2 linked regions of the Drosophila melanogaster genome follow. The protein of the gene in region 1 interacts with the protein of each later gene in a pairwise test. Each region holds a gene or a part of one and is shown on either strand. Other genes may lie near its edges. The genes, in order: Tsp42Eg and CG4287.

What was found.
Region 2: the proteins of Tsp42Eg (region 1) and CG4287 interact in a two-hybrid assay, tested with the Drosophila melanogaster proteins (one large-scale study listed by BioGRID).

Annotation. Positions count from the first base shown.
Region 1 is NT_033778.4:7,025,666-7,036,177, reverse strand, and holds Tsp42Eg (tetraspanin 42Eg), read right to left. Parts: upstream 7,268-10,512; 5' UTR 7,080-7,267; coding exon 7,020-7,079; intron 4,431-7,019; coding exon 4,266-4,430; intron 3,852-4,265; coding exon 3,675-3,851; intron 3,607-3,674; coding exon 3,433-3,606; intron 3,369-3,432; coding exon 3,288-3,368; 3' UTR 2,945-3,287; downstream 1-2,944. Other genes in the region: Tsp42Ei (tetraspanin 42Ei), read right to left, coding at 1-135, 526-708, 783-842; Tsp42Eh (tetraspanin 42Eh), read right to left, coding at 1,475-1,552, 1,712-1,909, 1,972-2,136, 2,205-2,399, 2,460-2,519; Tsp42Ef (tetraspanin 42Ef), read right to left, coding at 8,405-8,476, 8,537-8,734, 8,798-8,959, 9,021-9,194.
Region 2 is NT_033777.3:15,959,471-15,967,190, reverse strand, and holds CG4287 (uncharacterized protein), read left to right. Parts: upstream 1-3,323; 5' UTR 3,324-3,592; intron 3,593-3,645; 5' UTR 3,646-3,651; coding exon 3,652-4,653; 3' UTR 4,654-5,024; downstream 5,025-7,720. Other genes in the region: Rbf2 (Retinoblastoma-family protein 2), read right to left, coding at 1-1,585; CG32856 (uncharacterized protein), read left to right, coding at 2,007-2,117, 2,172-2,384; CG5516 (uncharacterized protein), read right to left, coding at 2,543-3,026, 3,094-3,140; Sap47 (Synapse-associated protein 47kD), read right to left, coding at 7,639-7,720.

The sequences.
Region 1 (10,512 bases):
TTGGTTGCGCTCCGATTCCCAGAGACGGTCGAATCCCTCGTTGATGCTGCCCGAGATTCCATCCTTGGTGCCGTGTGAGGACATGCCGAGAAAAATTAGCTGGGCGAGGATCAGCAGCACCACGGCTCCCACATACTATTGGTTTGGATCGGATTTAGAAGAAATTAGTGGAAATATCCGAGACAAGTTTAAATCTAATAGATGCAATCAAAATCTACAAATCAGCTTTGCTGAAAACAATCGCTTCTCACTAAGCTTACAATCAGTATCTAAGCTGAATCATCGCATTGGCTAAATCTAATCGTTTAGGCTACTAACATACTCTATAATTTATGGGTGCAATGTGCAAAAAAGCACTGACCAAGCAGGACAGTACTATAATGTGCACCCACATAAAATAAAGAGTTTGTATAGCATATTGTCTTAAAACAGTATTACTTAATCAGGAAATATGTTTAAAAAAAAAAATATATATATCTTTTAGCAAGTCTGCAAGGGCAATGAGTAGAAATCAGAGCTACTTACTATGAGGAGCCTCACAGGAGCCTCATGGATGGCAGCCAGGCAGCCGAAGATCGCAATGATGAGGATGACAACGCCCAAGGCGATGATTAGGCCCCCGGCCACATTTTTCCCAATGCTGACTGCATTCTCAGCGGCGGAGATCAAAAAGAAAATTCCGAAGGCGATCAGCGCCAGCCCGAGCACCTGTGGAAAACGAGAAAAAAGTTAGGTTGGCATATATAATACTTACTAGTATCGCTCTCAGGTGTGCTACTCACGGAAAACACAAAGTTCAGCAAAAGCAGCACATGCTTCACTGTAGTGGCGCCCAGACCCATGATTACTGTGGATCAATCAACCTGTAGATGCGGCTGGAGACCGACTGTTAAGATGTACGAAGGCAACGCGCAGTAGAGTGCATCAGAGGCCTTACATATAAGGCTATATGGCCAGCAGCCTGTTTCAGATGCGTATCTTTCGGATACAGCGGCGCGCTAAGATCTTTCGACGTCCGACCGCCGTGGTTCAGCTGTGCGAATCAACTGGCAGCGCTGTGAGATGGAAACCGAAACAGTGTGTTTTGTTTTGACTTAAACAACGACCGACTCACCGATCGCTCATTCATTCTATCTATAAATCGGTTAATGAAAATCGAGAGCGAGAATCGCCCACTTGCGCGAGCTTTTCTTGTTTATCGCCGATCCCCACACGTTTAGATTCCTGCTGGCCAACGAAAATCTCTTGTAAAAGTTTAGTTTAGTCAATGGCAACGGGTTTATTTATTTTCGTTTCGAATTATTTCGTGGGCGTGGGTGCCAGTTTACAGTTTTATGAATGAATACTTGGTATCTGTAGCCTAACTTGGTTAATCATCGTAAACTACAATCACAATTCGCCAGGGCCGTATGGCTAGGAAATTACTCACAACAAATAACGATAATACGGTTCGTGCAAATCCCTAAATACTATCTTAATTATAGAATCTTATGCGGTCGCGATGATTGCGAATGCTGTCTACCAGGTAGCAGGTGGTCACCGAGCCAGCGAACTGCAAATACAATAAGTTAATATAATAAACATAAGTATGTAATGATAGAAAGATACGGGCAATTTAAATATTTTGTAAATTACTTTGTTTAGATTGAGAACCAAGCAAAAACCAAAGATGCTAGATGGTAGTTGAGAAACTCTAAAACTGTCTACTTACCTCAAAGATAACAAGGAACCAACTTAGCGAGTGGAAGTTGGCTGTCTTTGCGCCGACATACTCCTTGAACTTGACTTCGCAGCCTGTCATGAAAAGATTCAGATGCTTGGTGCAGTCCCGATTGAGACAACAACTGGGAGGAGGCATCTTCTCCAAGTGCAGGTAGTCCTCGGCACTGTTGCGGCCACAGCAGTGAAGCTATTGAGTTGTAAGTTTAGCTATGATCTGAAAGTGTTTAATTAAAAGGACGGCAAGCTTACCCACTCCTCGTAGGTGTTCAGTGTGCTGTTGCCCTCGTGTTGCAAGTCCCACAGGTCGTCAAGTCCCTGCCTCAAAGAATCCGGTAGGAAATCTCGGCTGGCGGCATAGCTTATGCTGACCAATACAATCTGAACGATCAGGAGAAACACCAACAAAACGGCGTACTATATAAGAAAGTTATAGGAAAGGTGAGTTATACAGGTGAGTCATAGAATCAACGTCGAGTACTTACGCAGATCAACAGCACCCTGGAGTCCTTGGCCACAGCCACCGATCCGAAAATGCTGGCCACCACGATGACGGTGCCCAGCAGGACGCAGAGAACGGCGGCCAGGTCCTCACCGTGATCCATTCCCAGCATCCGCTGCTCCTCAGAGAGGCTATCCAGCAGCCAGGCGCCGTACCAGATGAGCAGGCAGCCACCTAGCTAAACAAAGGCCACAATCCCTTTCAATGTCAGCCGATCGGGTCTATTTCGGGCACTTACGGCACAGATGCCACTGATGACACACAGAACGTATCTGAGCAGTCGGGTGGTGCAGTACATGGCGCAGCTAGCTTTCGATTTTCACAATTTTCATGCGAGTTTTTCCGTCGGCGTTCCAAGGCGCACACCTTGAGCAGTGCCATCAAAATATAGACTAAAGTCGCATAATCTCCATTTGTTTGCCTGGGGCGACTCGCAGAGCTGTCGCCGGCAACCGATTAACCCACAGATTCGTTGGCTGCTTCGGATTCTGTCGCCATCCCGTCCGGTCCGGCCCGATCCGATCCGACCCGTTGGCCAGATGCAGTGGCCAAATAAATGCCAGGGGGAAATCAAAGGCGAGCACGGTCCGCAGCGAATAATACCAATGAAAACAACCGACCGCCCACGCGCTCTACAAAAATGAGCCAGCATGTGGCCACCCTCACCTTTTGGCCGCCACTCCCCTCACCTCATTATCATAGGAATGATGTCAACCGATCTTTAGATCTTCAGATCTTCTGGATCTTCGGCCAGATTCTTTATTTGACTTGTCTCCTCGAAATGCTGTTACAGAAAATTTGTGGCTTAGGTCGAGCTTAGTGTAGATTAAGTTACATTCTAAGCGGAATATAGAATCCGCTTCAACATTGCAGTTATCCAAAGTGATAAATAGAATACAAACAACGCACTGCTTTCGGTTTGCTTGGCTTAAGTAAATTTGTTTTGGAATCTCTATCGAGTTTCGGCTTAAGTATTTGTATGGAGAGTTCTTTGGCCTTAAGTATGCGCAGCTTAAACTTGAATTTTCGAAATGCATTTCAATGTATTTCAAAATGGTATGTGAACCTATTTCTGATAGTACTTCGAGCGTCGCCAGCGGTTCACGATGCTATTGGCCAGGACATAGGCCAACAGGGCGCAAATCAGCTGTGAAGGAATAATTGGTTTTCATTATTGAACATCATCTAACTCTCAATAACTCTCTACCCACCTCCACACCCAATAGCACCAGGGAAACCAGATTAAATGTCGTCCAACGATCGGCGATAAAGTCCAGGAACTTTTGCCGGCATCCTTCAAGATTCAGTTTGTCACTCTCGCCGTTGTAGCAACTATTCGGGGGCAGAATGTAGTCCGAGGGCCCCACATTGCCGCAGCAATCCAACTAAAATAAATGGCATGAAAGGGTCTTATTGGGCACCCCCACCTTTTATAGATCTCGTCTCAACTTACCCATCGCTCGAGGCTGGCAATCTGACTCTGGTTGCCAGGCTTGATTGGCACCGGCTGGTCATTCCACAGTTTATCGAACGTTTTGTCCACGTTAATCAGCAGCGAGGTTTGGAAAACCCACAGGAACCCAACTGCTAGAACTTCCAGTATGACCAAGACAATCAGAATAACAACGAACTGGGCAGGCGACAGAGAAATATAATTATAATTTAAATTCAGATTAGTATGTTTTATAAGACCACTTTTTTTAGTGAATTCAATAAATCTAGAGAAATCTCAAATATATAGAACCAATACATTGGTTTCTAAAAAAGCTTTGGTACCTACAATTTTTTAAGTTCTGGGAACCAAGAAATTTTAATTTCGGTCCATAATTTTATGAATTATTTGGATTTGTTGAGCTTTACGGGCATAACATACAGTATAGAGTATACTTTTACAGTGCGAAGAGTATACTATATTCGTTGAAAAGTATGTAAGAGTTTGGAGAAAGTGTTTCCGACGCTATAGAGGATATATATATACTTGATAAGGTTCCGCCTAAGCCGCCTAAATGTATGGTTTATTGTACTTAATGTACTTCTTACTTACCACCTTAGATGTGGCACTGCTCTCCCGCGCTGCTCCCAGAGCCCCGAAAAGGGCGGTCAGAACGACGACCACGCCCACCGCGATGATGACGAAGGCGGCCGTGTTGAAGTGCTCGAATTTGTAGATGATGTGCACACCAAGGCCGATAACAACCAGGCCGAACAGCTGTCGAAATGGGGAGAAGTGGATGATTGAAAAGTTAAATAATTCAGCTTTGTCCGAGAGGTGATAAAACCGTATCGCCTGAAGGTTTTCGCGTTGAGTCAGTATGCAAATGAGGTTTCTCTCTACCGAGAATCAATGGAAACAATCCAGGCGTTCGGCTGTGTGATTAAATCTTAGTTCTTACAAAGATCGCCGCACAGCGATGTTTACTCATTCTCGCCGAACTAATGCCATCATAGAGCTATATTACGTATACGCAGAGTTGTCTCTAGAAAACTGCCTCTCACTTTTCGAGTGCATTGCGGTTGCATTTTAAAATTACCGCCATGACTCACTAGATCCACAAGCACAACGCTACATTTCGCACTCTCCTGCCAAATGTAGGCTCTTCGTAATTTGGCAGCTTGCCCAGAGAAGCGAAAAGAATTCAAAATCCAATCCCAATACCGAAAGTAAGTTTTCGAAATGCGTAGTAATTACAAGGCGATGATGTTTGCACACGGCAACCTGTTGACGCCAGCAATTTGTAAATTATTTTTACAATTGTCGTTGGCAAACAAGAAAACCAGTCGGCAAATACGTTGGCTTTGACGAGCCACGTTTGTTTGTCACCCCAACTCAATGGGCCCGGCTTAGAAAACGCTTACGAATCAGCCCAAAGCCTACGAGGTGATTATGAGTGATTTCGACGATTAATAACGGCAGCCATGACTGATTTCGAGTGTAATTCCCGGTCAGAAACGTTTTGGTAACCCTAAACTGGGCGTAACGCTTTATTTTAGGCTCTGGATAGTAGGCAGTTAAATAAATATTCACTTAAGGCTGAATTTAATGAGCTTTGTTGCCCAATAAGGCAGCGGGTAAATATCATTTACATTAATAGAGTTACAATCGACACTGGCCCATCAATTAATGCTTATGAGACAATGGGATGAGCTGTAGTTCAGCAGACACGTCGACTGAGGAGACATCTGGCACTGTTTTGTGGATGAGCGAGTGTGTATTGCGCGCCATTTAATTGTAATTTATTATTCCCCGGCGCCCAAAATCCCGCAAAGTCCAAATAGGCGCTGACACGGAAAACCGAAAACACAAAGGCACGTTCTTGAAAGCCCGAAAATCGAAAACAAACAAATTGTATTAGTTGAGGAAATGCGAGCCAAGCATGCCACAATCTGAATTCACTTAGGACCATCGACCCATAGTTAGACTTTGTGATTGAGTACCGCGCTATGCGACTTAATTCGAAGCAGAACCTTATGATCGCCATTTGCACAGGGAACAAGCCCGCCCACTCAACCGGTGATATCGAAAGCGGACTATTACGCCCGTCGAGATTGTTTAACGGGCCAAGAAGACACTCAGGTGATGTCTAATAAACGCGATAAGATCGCCATGTGTTGGCAACAGAGAAACAGCAACGTTTTATTAATTTGCTCCCATTTCCCCACGCAGACAAGCAATTAAACGCAATTATCACCAGACTAACCAAGGTCGGACTTCGGCAGAGCAGTGCGGACAACTAATTTGCATATCCGTTGATAAGGGGGACAGTAGTCCGCTGAGTAGGCAGATCAAATGCCATTGCCAGAGCTCGGAATCAATGTTCAAAAACGTACAGGGGACCAGATTTATGTGGGTTTGCTGTCGGCATGGGAGCACTAAAGGCTGAGACACAAAGGTTAAGCCCTACCCTAAAACATAATGAAGTAATTTCAGTTTCAGCCTGGGCTCCAGCATAATTGAAATCTCTCAACGCGCAATTCAAGAGTTAACTCGCCTGGAACCAAATGCGGAAAATCGCGCATACGCCGTGTGGTGCGCGCTGGCATTTCCTCGGCCTTCAGTCGCATTCCAATGGAATCAAACGCCAGAAAGATGCCCAAAACGTCTAGGAAATGACATCAACAGATATGTATATGTACACACGGCCCAAGCCAAAATCTGGTTCAAGTAAATCCAACTAAAATAACAGCGAATATCTAATAAAAATTCTGTAGATTTTGTTCAGGGTTAAGTGATGGCGTGGGTGACCAAGTTTCGACTTGGCAGACATAAAATGTTGAAAGCCAAATAAAAAGCTCAATAGAAAATAAACAAAATACAAGCAAATATCTAAATATTATATCATTTTTAAAGATATTTTTGTGCGGGTGAAATTCGCTAGAACATGGTGCCTTTTAGAAGAGTTTTTCCCTATCTGGCTGATGTAAAAGTATTTGCCTCAACATTCAAGTGAATTTGAAAATGAAACACAAAAACAAACAAAAATAGCAAAACAATATTTATGCTTAAGGAGGCGCTCCAATGTTTGAATTCTGTGCAATGAAATAAACAAATGTCACGTCAAAGGCTGATGGATTTGTGAATGAACTTGGGCGAAGCTGGAGAACGTTTCTTGGGCAAGAACTGGCATTTGGCCAAAGTTAAGTTGTTTTCCTGCAATTAGCCTTGGCTAGAGCTTCAGCTTAATTACTGTCGTCGTGCTGTTTGGGGTCACCAGAGTTGCGCGACAGAAATACCTGCCCCTTAACGCTTAAAACATGTAATGCTTAATCTTTATGGATGCTTATAGTATATAATACTCACAGCGAGGATAATATCCCAAAAGAGGGCAAAGCCCTTCAAAACGTTTGTGGAGCAGGCCATCTTGCCAATCCAATTTTCGGAAACTATATATCTATTGTTTCTTTGCAGGAGGTTACGCGTATTATTTATAACACTTGGCAACTCGCGGCTTGTTGACAATCGGAAAATATTTATTTCGGATCTAACGGTTGCTGGGGTTACCCAAAACCGGGCTCATGCTCACCGCTCGACTGTTAACTGAAAACTGAAAACTTTTCCAAACGTTCCGACTTTGTTGATAGCGCGAAAAGCATTTGGCGAACAAACGGCGGAAATCGGAACGAAAGCTTCGGCACAACGTGTGGAATCGAAACATTTGGCCGCAAGAGCGCAATGATTTTGTGCTCAACTAGATATTTACTTATATATGTTCGTTAGCGTGTACACAGAAAACAGAAATAGATGACGATCTATTTGAATAAAATGGAAGACGCGGTGGCCCATGCTAGTTATACCCCTTACTCGAAAAAATAGGGTATGTTGTGCACGTGAGCAAGGAACAAACATTTCCTAAAAACACCACGATATCAACATAAGCTGACTTATCTGCTGAAATACAGAACGACGATTGTACTGATCCTTTAATAAAACACTTCATTAAAAATATCATATTTTTTCCAAAAAGTGCAACAGGCTTGGAAAGCTAATATACCCTGATTACTTTGAGGGTGTGTCGCATCTCATAGTAATAGTACTCTGACTGCAGCATTCTCGCTTTTTTTATTTTATTTTTGCCAGTAGAAATATTCGGTTTATAATTAATTTCCATTTGAAACGTTCATCGTGTGTATTTATTTTTTGGATACCAAAGCTTTTCTATGTGTGAGCAACATAACCGGCAGTTTTATTTTTAAATATAATATCGTTTGTATAATTTATACAAGCAAACCACAAATGTGCCCCACAATGTGTGCCCCAATACGTTACTAATCAGGTGTGTGCAACTATATGGATAACTAATTAGGTTAGAATAGTAACGAAACACGACCCAAACACGCTAAATATAATGTGTTTTTCAATAATAACAGAATGAAGTAGGTGCTTGACTTTGGTTCGATAAATTTATTTAAAAGTATGTTGAAATAAATAAAACTAAATCTATTTTACTTTTCTTAATCTTAGTTGTGAGTTGCCCTCTGTATTTCACTGAAATCAACGTGTGAAAAGGGATCATTTCAGTGCACTGTGCTGATTAAATGAGTTTCAATTTCGAAAATATAACAGCAATACCCCAGTCTTGAATAACGCTCAAGACCTGCCAAGCCAATTAATTAATAGTGTAATATTCTTCAGAAATTTAACAAGTCGACTGCCAATCCCAGTTGAGTATTTTCAGGTTTCACTGTCTAAAAGTAAGAACGTCGAGCATCGTTGCGAATGCTGTTGCACAGGCGGCAAGAGATGACACTCAGCAGGAGCTGCAAGAGATGGGGACATTTTAAAAACAGCGCTCAGTCGTTCGCTTTTGGGACACCCACCTCGAAGCCAATGAGTACGAGGGCCAGGATGTTAAAAATCTTGGTCAAGTGTTGCCAGTAGTTCTCGAACTCCACCCGACAGCCGGTGTGGATCAGGTTCTCCGGCTTGCTCTTGTCGTGGTTTCGGAAACATGTCTCCGGCGGCAGTCGTTCGTTGACGATGTAATCCTGGGGACTTCCACGACCGCAGCACTGGAACTACGGGTATATGGGTGATTATCAGTGTTTATGACTCTAACTAGAGCCCTGCTGTCAACTCACCCAGTTCTGGTACAGCGACATGGCACCAGGGCTGTTCAGTTCCTCCTCCCAGGTGGCCTCCAGGGCATTAGCCAGGTTGGAGGCCACCGTCTTCTCCTGGGTGATCAGCAAGTAGACGACGGCGAACTGGGCAATGATGACCAGGCACAGGAAAATAATGAACTGCAAGGAAATAGAACCGTATACCACCATGCTTAACAGTAGACACCCATCCTTGACTTACCGTCACTGTGCAGCACACGTTCTCGCGCCAGGCGGACAGGTATCCCCAAAGGACAACCAGCAGGGCAGCAGCCCCGAGTCCCACGTAGCCGTAGGCCGTCAGCTGACCGATCTCGTTTAGGTTGTAGGACACCGCCACATAGATGCCGAAGGATATCAGCACCAAGGCTAGCAGCTGTGGGATCACAAGTCCAATATTAGTAGGGAATCTTGGGAGCTTCTCGAACGGAATGAGCATTCTGACCTCATTAGAAATACATATATGTTGTTCGTTTAGCTCAAGTAATACAATTACTAGTACCGAAGACCGAAATGAATTGTCTGCCTTAAATTTATCTGATAAGATAAGAATACGTGCGTACATACAACACGATTTAAGTTCAAGTTGAAGACTTTCAAAAAGATTACAATAAATCAAGATTAATTACATGTAAAGGGTAACACTTTATCATAAATTTGATAAGCTTCAACGCTATGAATATATATATATATATATATATTTAATATTAGTTAGATAATTATAAGGGTGGCGCTCGACAGCTTTGATAGCTTTGATAGCTTTGATAAGAGACCGCTGAAATCCCACAATCAAGCCGTCCAAATTCAAATTGGCCGGCAATACACATTCATAGACATGTTGTTATTGTATAGTGTTTGTTATGTTATTCAGCTTATCTTTCCTTGCGAGTGAAACTCACTGAATTGGCAATAGTTACCTTCGTCAGCAACCCATTTAACTAAAGTCCTGGTACTTGTGGCCTAGTGTTCCATTTCTAGTGTTTTGACCTCGCACAAGGCGTTAGTTGGAGAGCCCATTCGGGGGCGTCCTCCAGGCTAGCCCATCTGGCGACAGGGATAGACGCCAAGGAAGTTGGCGGGAACGTGGTGTGGGAAACTAGGGACTGGGAAGTCGAAGAAGGACACCCACAGCAAACAATTCGGACAGGACTGCGCACACAGACAAGGTCACTCGATTACTATTCATATCTGATACGGCGGTATCGCAGCGGATAGCTTGTTTGCTAACGCGCTTGTTTGAGTGGGTTTGAATTATTCAAATTCAGTCTCTGTAGCATTGGGATAAGTTTAAAAGGTGACGTGAGGCGCTCATACAGCGATGATGTTTCGATTCGAAAATGAAAGGCGAGGTGCAAACATCGGTGATTAATTCGCTAGCTGTTTCGATTTAGCTCTGATACGAGTGTGACTGTTTTCCGATTGCAATGGATTCGTCCGAAAGTCATGAGTAAGCCGAGTCCCTGCTGCAAGTCCAGATATCGATTGGAAAATTTCGAATTGATGAGCTGCCAGCGGACGGATAGCCCGATCGTATTATATATGCTGTGACCTCTGGGGCCATCTGGTCCTTCTCACCGCGGCTTGCAATTAAATTGTATAAATAAACCAATAAACTATAATCGGGGAATTGGGTTCGACCATTAGACGGTTTTACTGGTGTGTTTTACACTCCTGCCAACCAAAAATTAACACAT
Region 2 (7,720 bases), on another chromosome or scaffold:
AAATCAACGAGTCCAGGCACATTTCCTCCACCACATCCAGGTGCTTGATCAGCTCTCTGCCCAGAAAACCATGATCGTAGCGCACCACCAACTCTAGAATCTTTTGAAAGTCGTAGGCGTCCAGTGAAAAGCAGTGCAGGACAAAGGGAAACCTTAGGCCTTCCACTAGTTTGTGGTGGACGTGAAGTGCCAGTTCCAGGCAGCAAGCTAACAGGGCGGCGGTAAGCTTGCGCTGCTTCATTAACTGACCAATCTTCAGCTGTGGTTTTTGAACCAGCTCCGGTCCCAAAATTTTCTGCAAATATTTGTAGTAAAGGCCTCTGGCCTGGCGGAATCGTTTTCCAGACAACTCAGCATCCAAAAAATCTTTCACGGCCATGGTAAAGGTCCGATTCATTTCTTCCAGAGTTTGATCTAAATAATTTACAATTTTATCTGCGTCTTCCTTCTTGGGGAATGCTTTTATAATGCTTAGGGGAAGACTTGCTGGTAGATCATGGGTGGACAGCTTCCTATGCGAAGGTGACGAGCTTGTTTGGAAGGCGAGCTGTGGGCTTTTAGGAGAGTCCCCTTTGGTCTCTATCGCCCCCTGGACGCTGAGCAGCACACGCTCGTCCATCTCACTAATGTCGGCTACTTGATTGGTGTATTTGCGATTTAAGTTTTCCAGATTGATATCTAGCATACCCTCCTTAATGATCTCCCGCATATGGGTGTCGTCTCCAACTAGACTATGGTCCATATAGAGCATTATTAAGGCTTTGTGGAAAAAGGCGTTCTTCATTTGCACCACTCCCTTCGCTGGTAGCTCGGGAATCAGTTCTCCCAGTGCTTCTAGCACGCTATATTTATTTAGCAAAATAGGATTGAAGTCTTCGGTGTCCCAATTCTTGGGCACTCCAGAGAACTCCCGGCGGATAACTACGGATCGGGGCACCTCTAAGGCGTTCACGAAAAGGAGATCCATTGTGCAAACGAGCACCTGACAGCCGTTGATCAGGTTTGTAATCGCAAAACCGGGTAACTCGTTGCGAATGACCAGGAAGAGCAACCAACCGAACTCATACAGCGCTTGGTAGTGATTCGCGGCACCCGGGTCCGCACCCTTGCCGGGGTGAACGAACAGGCTCCGAAAGATGTGCTTATAATGCCGCAGCAGCGTCGAAGTAATACCAAGTCGACAACGCAGTTCCTCAACCTCCAGCTGGAAAGTGTTCTCGTTTTGGGTCAGCCAATTCCAGTGCTCCATGCGGCGTAGAAACTGGGACACGTTCATCTTAAAGCTGCGCAGCAGACGGGTTAGTGACACGTTCCAGCAGCAGTTCTTGGCCACCGAATCGTTTGCCTCGTTGATGGACTCCCTAATATCGCGCATCTTCGAGCGCTGCAGTTCGCTGTAGACGGCGCAACACAGCCACTCCTGGGCATCTGCCTCGCTGGTGGACAGCCCGTTGACCGCATCCAAGCGATGGTAGGTGGACAGAGCGCTTTGCTGAATTCTCGCTTCCAGCTCCAATTGCTCGCAGCTGACGGAGAAGCGTCTCACCAGCGTCTCCGCCTCTCCCTCCACTTCACAAGTCTCCATTGGTAGGAAACTGTTTATATTCTATAGTCTACTAGTTTTTGTTTGTTTATATTTCTGCGTAGTTTACGCGAATCCCCGTTTAGACTGTACAAAATGCAAATTTCAGAAAGGCGCGAATGATTTCGATTGCTGCCTGCCTCACCGCCATTGTTATCGAAATTTTGCTTTTGCAACAGTGCTGCTTTAGCTGGCTTATCGATAGCTGATACTTAACCCATTGCTTTCACTTACTAAATAATTAATTACATTTCCTCATAAAGCAAGTGACTTTTAAAATACTTTCATGTTTTTAACATCATTTAGTTTTTATAAGTAATCTAAATTCAATTCATTTATTTCCTTGTCCATTGGAAGTATACCATATAAGGCCTTCATTAAAAAGGGGTCTTTCTAAGGTTAAAGTTTATTATTTGTTTTCAAAATGCTGCAAACAAATCGAGTCCTTCAAAAAGAGCAGGCTGAACTATTTGCTATCCAGAAGAAACTCGACCGAGTGCTCCCCGTCATTCAGGAGGCATTAAATTCACTAAAGGTATCTACAAATCTCTTGCTTCAATGACGGTTTTCCCAATTCAGTGTTCCACAGGTAGAGGAGCTGCATCTCAAGTCTCAGGTGGTGGGCCAGCAGAACCCAAAAACGCAGTGCTCCCCTGGAAGGGATCCCCTCCACATAGATCTGTCGGTGGAGCAGTCCCCAATCACAACTGTGATGGAGTCCCATCTCGTCAACAGCCAGCAAATAGATCTGGATCTCGTAAGCCAAATGAGGCGTTTCGAGGAGGAAGTCGACTCGGATTAAAATTGTTATTAAGGCTGGAACTTTACCAGAAAAACGTACATGTTGGGAGCATTAAAATATAAACAATACAGTACCAAAAGTATGTTCATTTTCGGTGTAAGTGTGGGAAAACTAAACTAGTAAAGCTACATACTACAGACCACAAATCGGTCTCTTGATTACTCTTGATCGTCAGAAGATTCAGGTGAACTCCCGGCTCGTTTTTTCTTTTTTTGTGGAGCTCCCTGCTTTTGATCCTCGCTGCTGTCGCTGTCCGAGCCACTTCCACTGGAGTCTGACGAGCTGCCTTCCTCGTCGTCCGAATCCGAACTGGAGCTGCTCGAGTCTGATTCGGATGAGGAGCCCGATTCGCTGCTGCTGTCTGAGCTGTCCGACGAGCTGGAGGAGGACGAGGAGCTCTTGCTCGTTTTCCGCTTTCGACGGACCTTCTTTCCTTCCGAGGAAGCCACTTCCGAGTGCTCCTCCACCTGGTTCTTGGGTGCGTCAGCCTCCTTTTGGGACATACGCTTGCTTAGCTGCTTGGTACGCGAGCTCCGGTGGACGTATTTGCGCTTCTCCTTGCACTCATAGCTCCAGTGTCCGATCTGCAGGCACTTCTGGCACCGGATGCCATTGGGAAAGTCTGCTGCTTGCTTTGCGGATCTGTTGTTACAGAATTCGTAGGTTACAACAAAAAAGCCGGCTGGGGTACTTCTTAAACGCGACTAACCTCTTCTTTTGCGCTAATTTGCGGGCAGCTAGGCCCACCAAAGTCATCCTGAAGCACTCGAGCAGACGCTGTTGGGAGGAAATCTTGATGTGGGTGGAAACCAACGTGGCCGGGTGGAAAAACTGGGAAAAATGAGTATCAAAAATGTTTTTTATAATTTTTTTCGTCACATTAGCGATAGTCCACTGAAAATTGTATACTTCGCAAATCGACTGTATATGGTATGGTCACCCTTATTGTTATCGGCTATCGAACTCAACAGCTGCTTGCCTAATTTGTGTCTACCTGGTTTATGTTGAAATGTCTGAATTTTAAAGTTAATTAAGCCAAAATTTAAGTGCATTATGCATGGTCGTAAAAAAAATAAGAAATAAGCAACAGCTGACAGCTATTTCACCCTTAATTGACTGGCACAAATTGCTTGGTCAAACAATAACAAAAGCGCTGTGCTGACTAAGCGGCGAAAGTGGTTGCAACAAAGTCCAATCACTATCAATCGGTAAGGTTGCTGCAGGTCATTTGCTGACCAGTAATAAAGGATTTCATACACAGCTAGCCATGGACAACAGCGCGTTGATGCCACAGGCGAGCGGACGTCATATGCCGCCCGAGGAACTGGCCATGCAAGCACTAACCAAGCAGCTTTACAAGTCTCGTCTCTTCCGCGGTTATTATATGGAACGCTGCTTGGTGGAGCAGGTGTCCGGCTACCGGGACGTGGTGGTGCTTCAACGCAGTGAGCGAGAGTTGGAGAAGCTGCTGCACTCGAGTGCCGGCCAATTACAAAAGTTTTATCAACGCTTCGTGCCCAATATGTGGGTGGGCATCACCTATGGGAGTTACGGAAGTTACCAGCACAAAGCAGATCCTGGTCAACTGGAAACCTGCATCTGGACAGAGATGAATGATCTGGCTTTTGGAGAGTATTGGTTTAGCATCAAGACCCTTCGCTTCCGGGACCATGAAGTCCAGTTCAAACTGAAGATGATAAGGCCCGTGGAGCCAGAGCTGATGGCGACGCCGAGGAGATCACTGATTCTTAATAGAAGTAGCCCTGTTAAGGCGATCACAGCGGGTGGGGAAAACTCCTCCTCCAAGCCGGATGAAGTGGCGGAGCAAATTCAGCTGGGCCTTAATGATTTTTTGGCTGTGCTGCAACAGTGGGGTGATGGAGTCAAACAAACCGTGTACGACTTCATGACCAACGATGTCAACAAGAGGAACATTTTGGGCACCATTCGGTTTCTGGGTCTACTAATTTTCTCTGCCTTGGGTGGAGCCGCACTAGCGCTACGATTCCTAGGCGTATTTGCTGTGCGATTCCTGTTTGAGCTGAGTCGTTTCACACATACAGCCACTCCAATAGTGTTTAAACTAATCGAGTTTCTGAACAAGATTGTGGGTGCTATCTTCATACTTTTGACCATGATTTGGAAAGACATTGTCACTCGTGGACATCCGGAACCGAAACAGCAGCAGCTGCATCTGGAGGCAAGTAGCCGCTTCAAGAGCATCCAATACGAGCGTTCCGAACCAAATCGACGTAGTCCCCGGTGGTGACCCGCCACTAAAAGCACATTAATGTCTAGCAAAGTGTTCCGAGGTGTAAGGGCAACGAAAAATCATTGAAATTGTGTTACTAGCCGTAAGCAAAGCGAAGCCAATCCCAATCCCCGCTTCGAGTCCGAGGGTATTTGCCCTGCAAATATGGGGACACCTATGAGATTTACAGATTTTAGTCAATTGCAATATTGTAAATTATTAATTGGCGTGCCACTGGCGCACAATCGCATGCTTATTAACCCCACTGTTAATTCATTGTGTATTGTCCAAAAATATGTTTTATTAAATCCGTTTAGTGTTAGATCCTGTAATTTATGTATCGAAAATTATTGTGAATAAATTGAATGCAATATGCGAAAATCGAAATGAAAGAGCTTGGCGTTTCGTTAGTTTTAATAGTTATACACTTTCCCTTTATTACTTTAGTTGATTTTAATCTCGTTAAATTGTTCTCATATATATTTATTATGTATATACTCGTACGTGTTCATGCTGTCGTCTTCGGTCTGTCATCGAACTTTACACAAAATGTTTAATTTATTTTCCGTTTGCTGTGCTTAGTTTTCAGGGTGCTATCGTCAGAGAAACACCACGTTCTGCCGTTGGTTTTAAATTGAGTGGAAAATGTTCTATGGCATTTCAGGGAGTGCCTCTGTTTCTAGCTGACAATTTTTGCATCCGGAGGATGCTACGAGGAATCCTCTGGTGTCTAAATATTTATCAATCATTAAACAACTAAATTATACTTTTCGGTTTTCCGTCTCGGGGGTGATATACTTTAATTAGTACATTTACATATATTTTACTTAATTTTGCAATGTATATTAATGGAATGCTGCTCAACAAACTTTGCTCATAAACATTAATTTAATTTTTGCTTTCTTTACGGCTTCATAATAATAATCTCTTTGCAGACAATAAAAAATGTGTGTGAGAGTCAATGCTGGAGGTTTGATATATCTTTTAGGATTCGGTGAGGATTGGATCTAGGGGTTGGGTTGTTCTGCCTTGTAAAATACATATGTTGTCAACATTATTACATTATTTATCGTTAATTTTTAATTTTTAATATTTATTGTTATTTATTAGTTCGGTTTATGCACTAATTTGCTTGTCATTGTGTCGCCAACATGTTTAAAAACGCACAAAGTAAATATAAATTTTAAAATTTCTTTAGTTTGTCATATTCCATGCCGTTTCGTGTAAATACATTTCATTTCTTTAAAAGTAAATGTACAATATACAGTTTAATGTTATAACTTTTACTTTTTCCGTAACATCCGCCTGCCTGTTTTCCATATATTTCGTGACTGCTAACAAATAATTACACATTCATAGCATTCTCATTCTCATATAACGTTTGTCTGCAGAAAATAATTTTATTTTGGTTTTATTAACAATTAGTTAGACATTTAGAGCAAAAACATTGATAATATAGAATTTGTTTTGTTTTTAGTTTATGCATAAAAATTTGTCTAGTGAAATATATAAATATATATGTGTATATATTTGTTTCAAATGTTTTGAACTGCTTATTGTTTATAATTGCATTTACTTTTCATTTGTTATTTGTAATTTATTAATTGCGTTTTAAGTTTCTTGATCTTTCAAGTCCAATCAGTGTATTATTGTTTTGGCAATTTGTTTGTTTTTAGTTTTGTTCAAGGAAGTTCGTGTATTGGTAGTGGAACAGCAAGGTGATAGTTGTTTAGAAAAAATCGAAAAAGAAGTTTGTTTCGAACTGAAAACGTTCGGAAAAGAAAAACTTGTTGGCGCGCCTTAAATTGAGCTAAACAATTGGTATTTATATGCATTGTTATTTATTTATTCTTGAACGTGTTTTTTAAGCATCAATCAATGATAATTTATTCTGTAATATTGTTGTTGGGCTATTAACTATTGAGGGATAAATAATACGTTTGAATGTTACTTCTTTGCTCTCAACTAATAAGTTACTATCATTTTTATTTCGCTTGTTTTGAATTCAAAATTTCTAAAAGAAGAGCATTTCAAGGATTTTTAAACTAAACTTTCAACTTTTTTTTTTTTGGGTGTCTCGTATCTTTACATATTTTATATCTATACTTTTATTATAATAATTTTTACACATTAAATTCAAATGCATTAATTTATCTGTATATATATATGTGTGTATATATATTTATATATAATTTATTTATAAATATAAATAACAAAATTTCCCTTTGAAGCATGTTTGTTTACTCAATTGTTAGTCACTATATTGAAATATGATCTGCATATATAGCATTAGCCAGTTTCTCGTCTGGCCCGCTCTCATAGTTGTGTGTCTGTCTATATGTTATAAGTACTTATTGATAATTACTGACTGCCAGATTTCTGATGCTTCGTGTGCTGAACAATTGGCAAGTAATACCGACGACTCCCTCTACCGCTGCCACTCGGTGTGTCAACCAAATAAAAGAGAATATAGTAGTTACATACATTTGAATACCGGATTGGTTAGGGCTTGGTTTGGATTCCTTTTAGTTTTCAGTTAAAACGTTAAGGTTAAATAAAATTGTTTTCTTTTTTGCTTTAGTGTCTTATATCATGTCTGAACGTAACTGAATAGAACGCTTTGCTCAGAGGCCAATAATTGAGTGGGTGTTGGGTCGGGGGCTATAGTATCTCAACCAACTTTTCCAATAGGCCAACCCAAGGCAAGCCCCCAGGGAAATGTCTGGGATTGTGGACCACCGGCACTAGAAGAGCGCTGGGACTGCCTCGTCTCATGGATAGCCCAACATCGTGCGCTTTAGGCACTTCAAAGTTCTGTGGTTTCGAATAGTTTTGTATTTTGTTTGGATTTGGATTCGGGTTTGATTTTGGGTTTTGGGTTAACAATATTAGGTTAATCAATTAAGGAGGAAACAAGGTTGGAAAGGAATGGAAAGAAAGATAAAGTAAAGATAGTTATAAACTTAGAGCCAACTTAGAAGAAACTACGATATAAGCTCTTAATTACTTTAAATCATCGGTATCCTCAATTAAATCGGCGTACTCCTCCCAATCGTTGTTAGTCGAGCGTGTGCGCAAGTTTGAT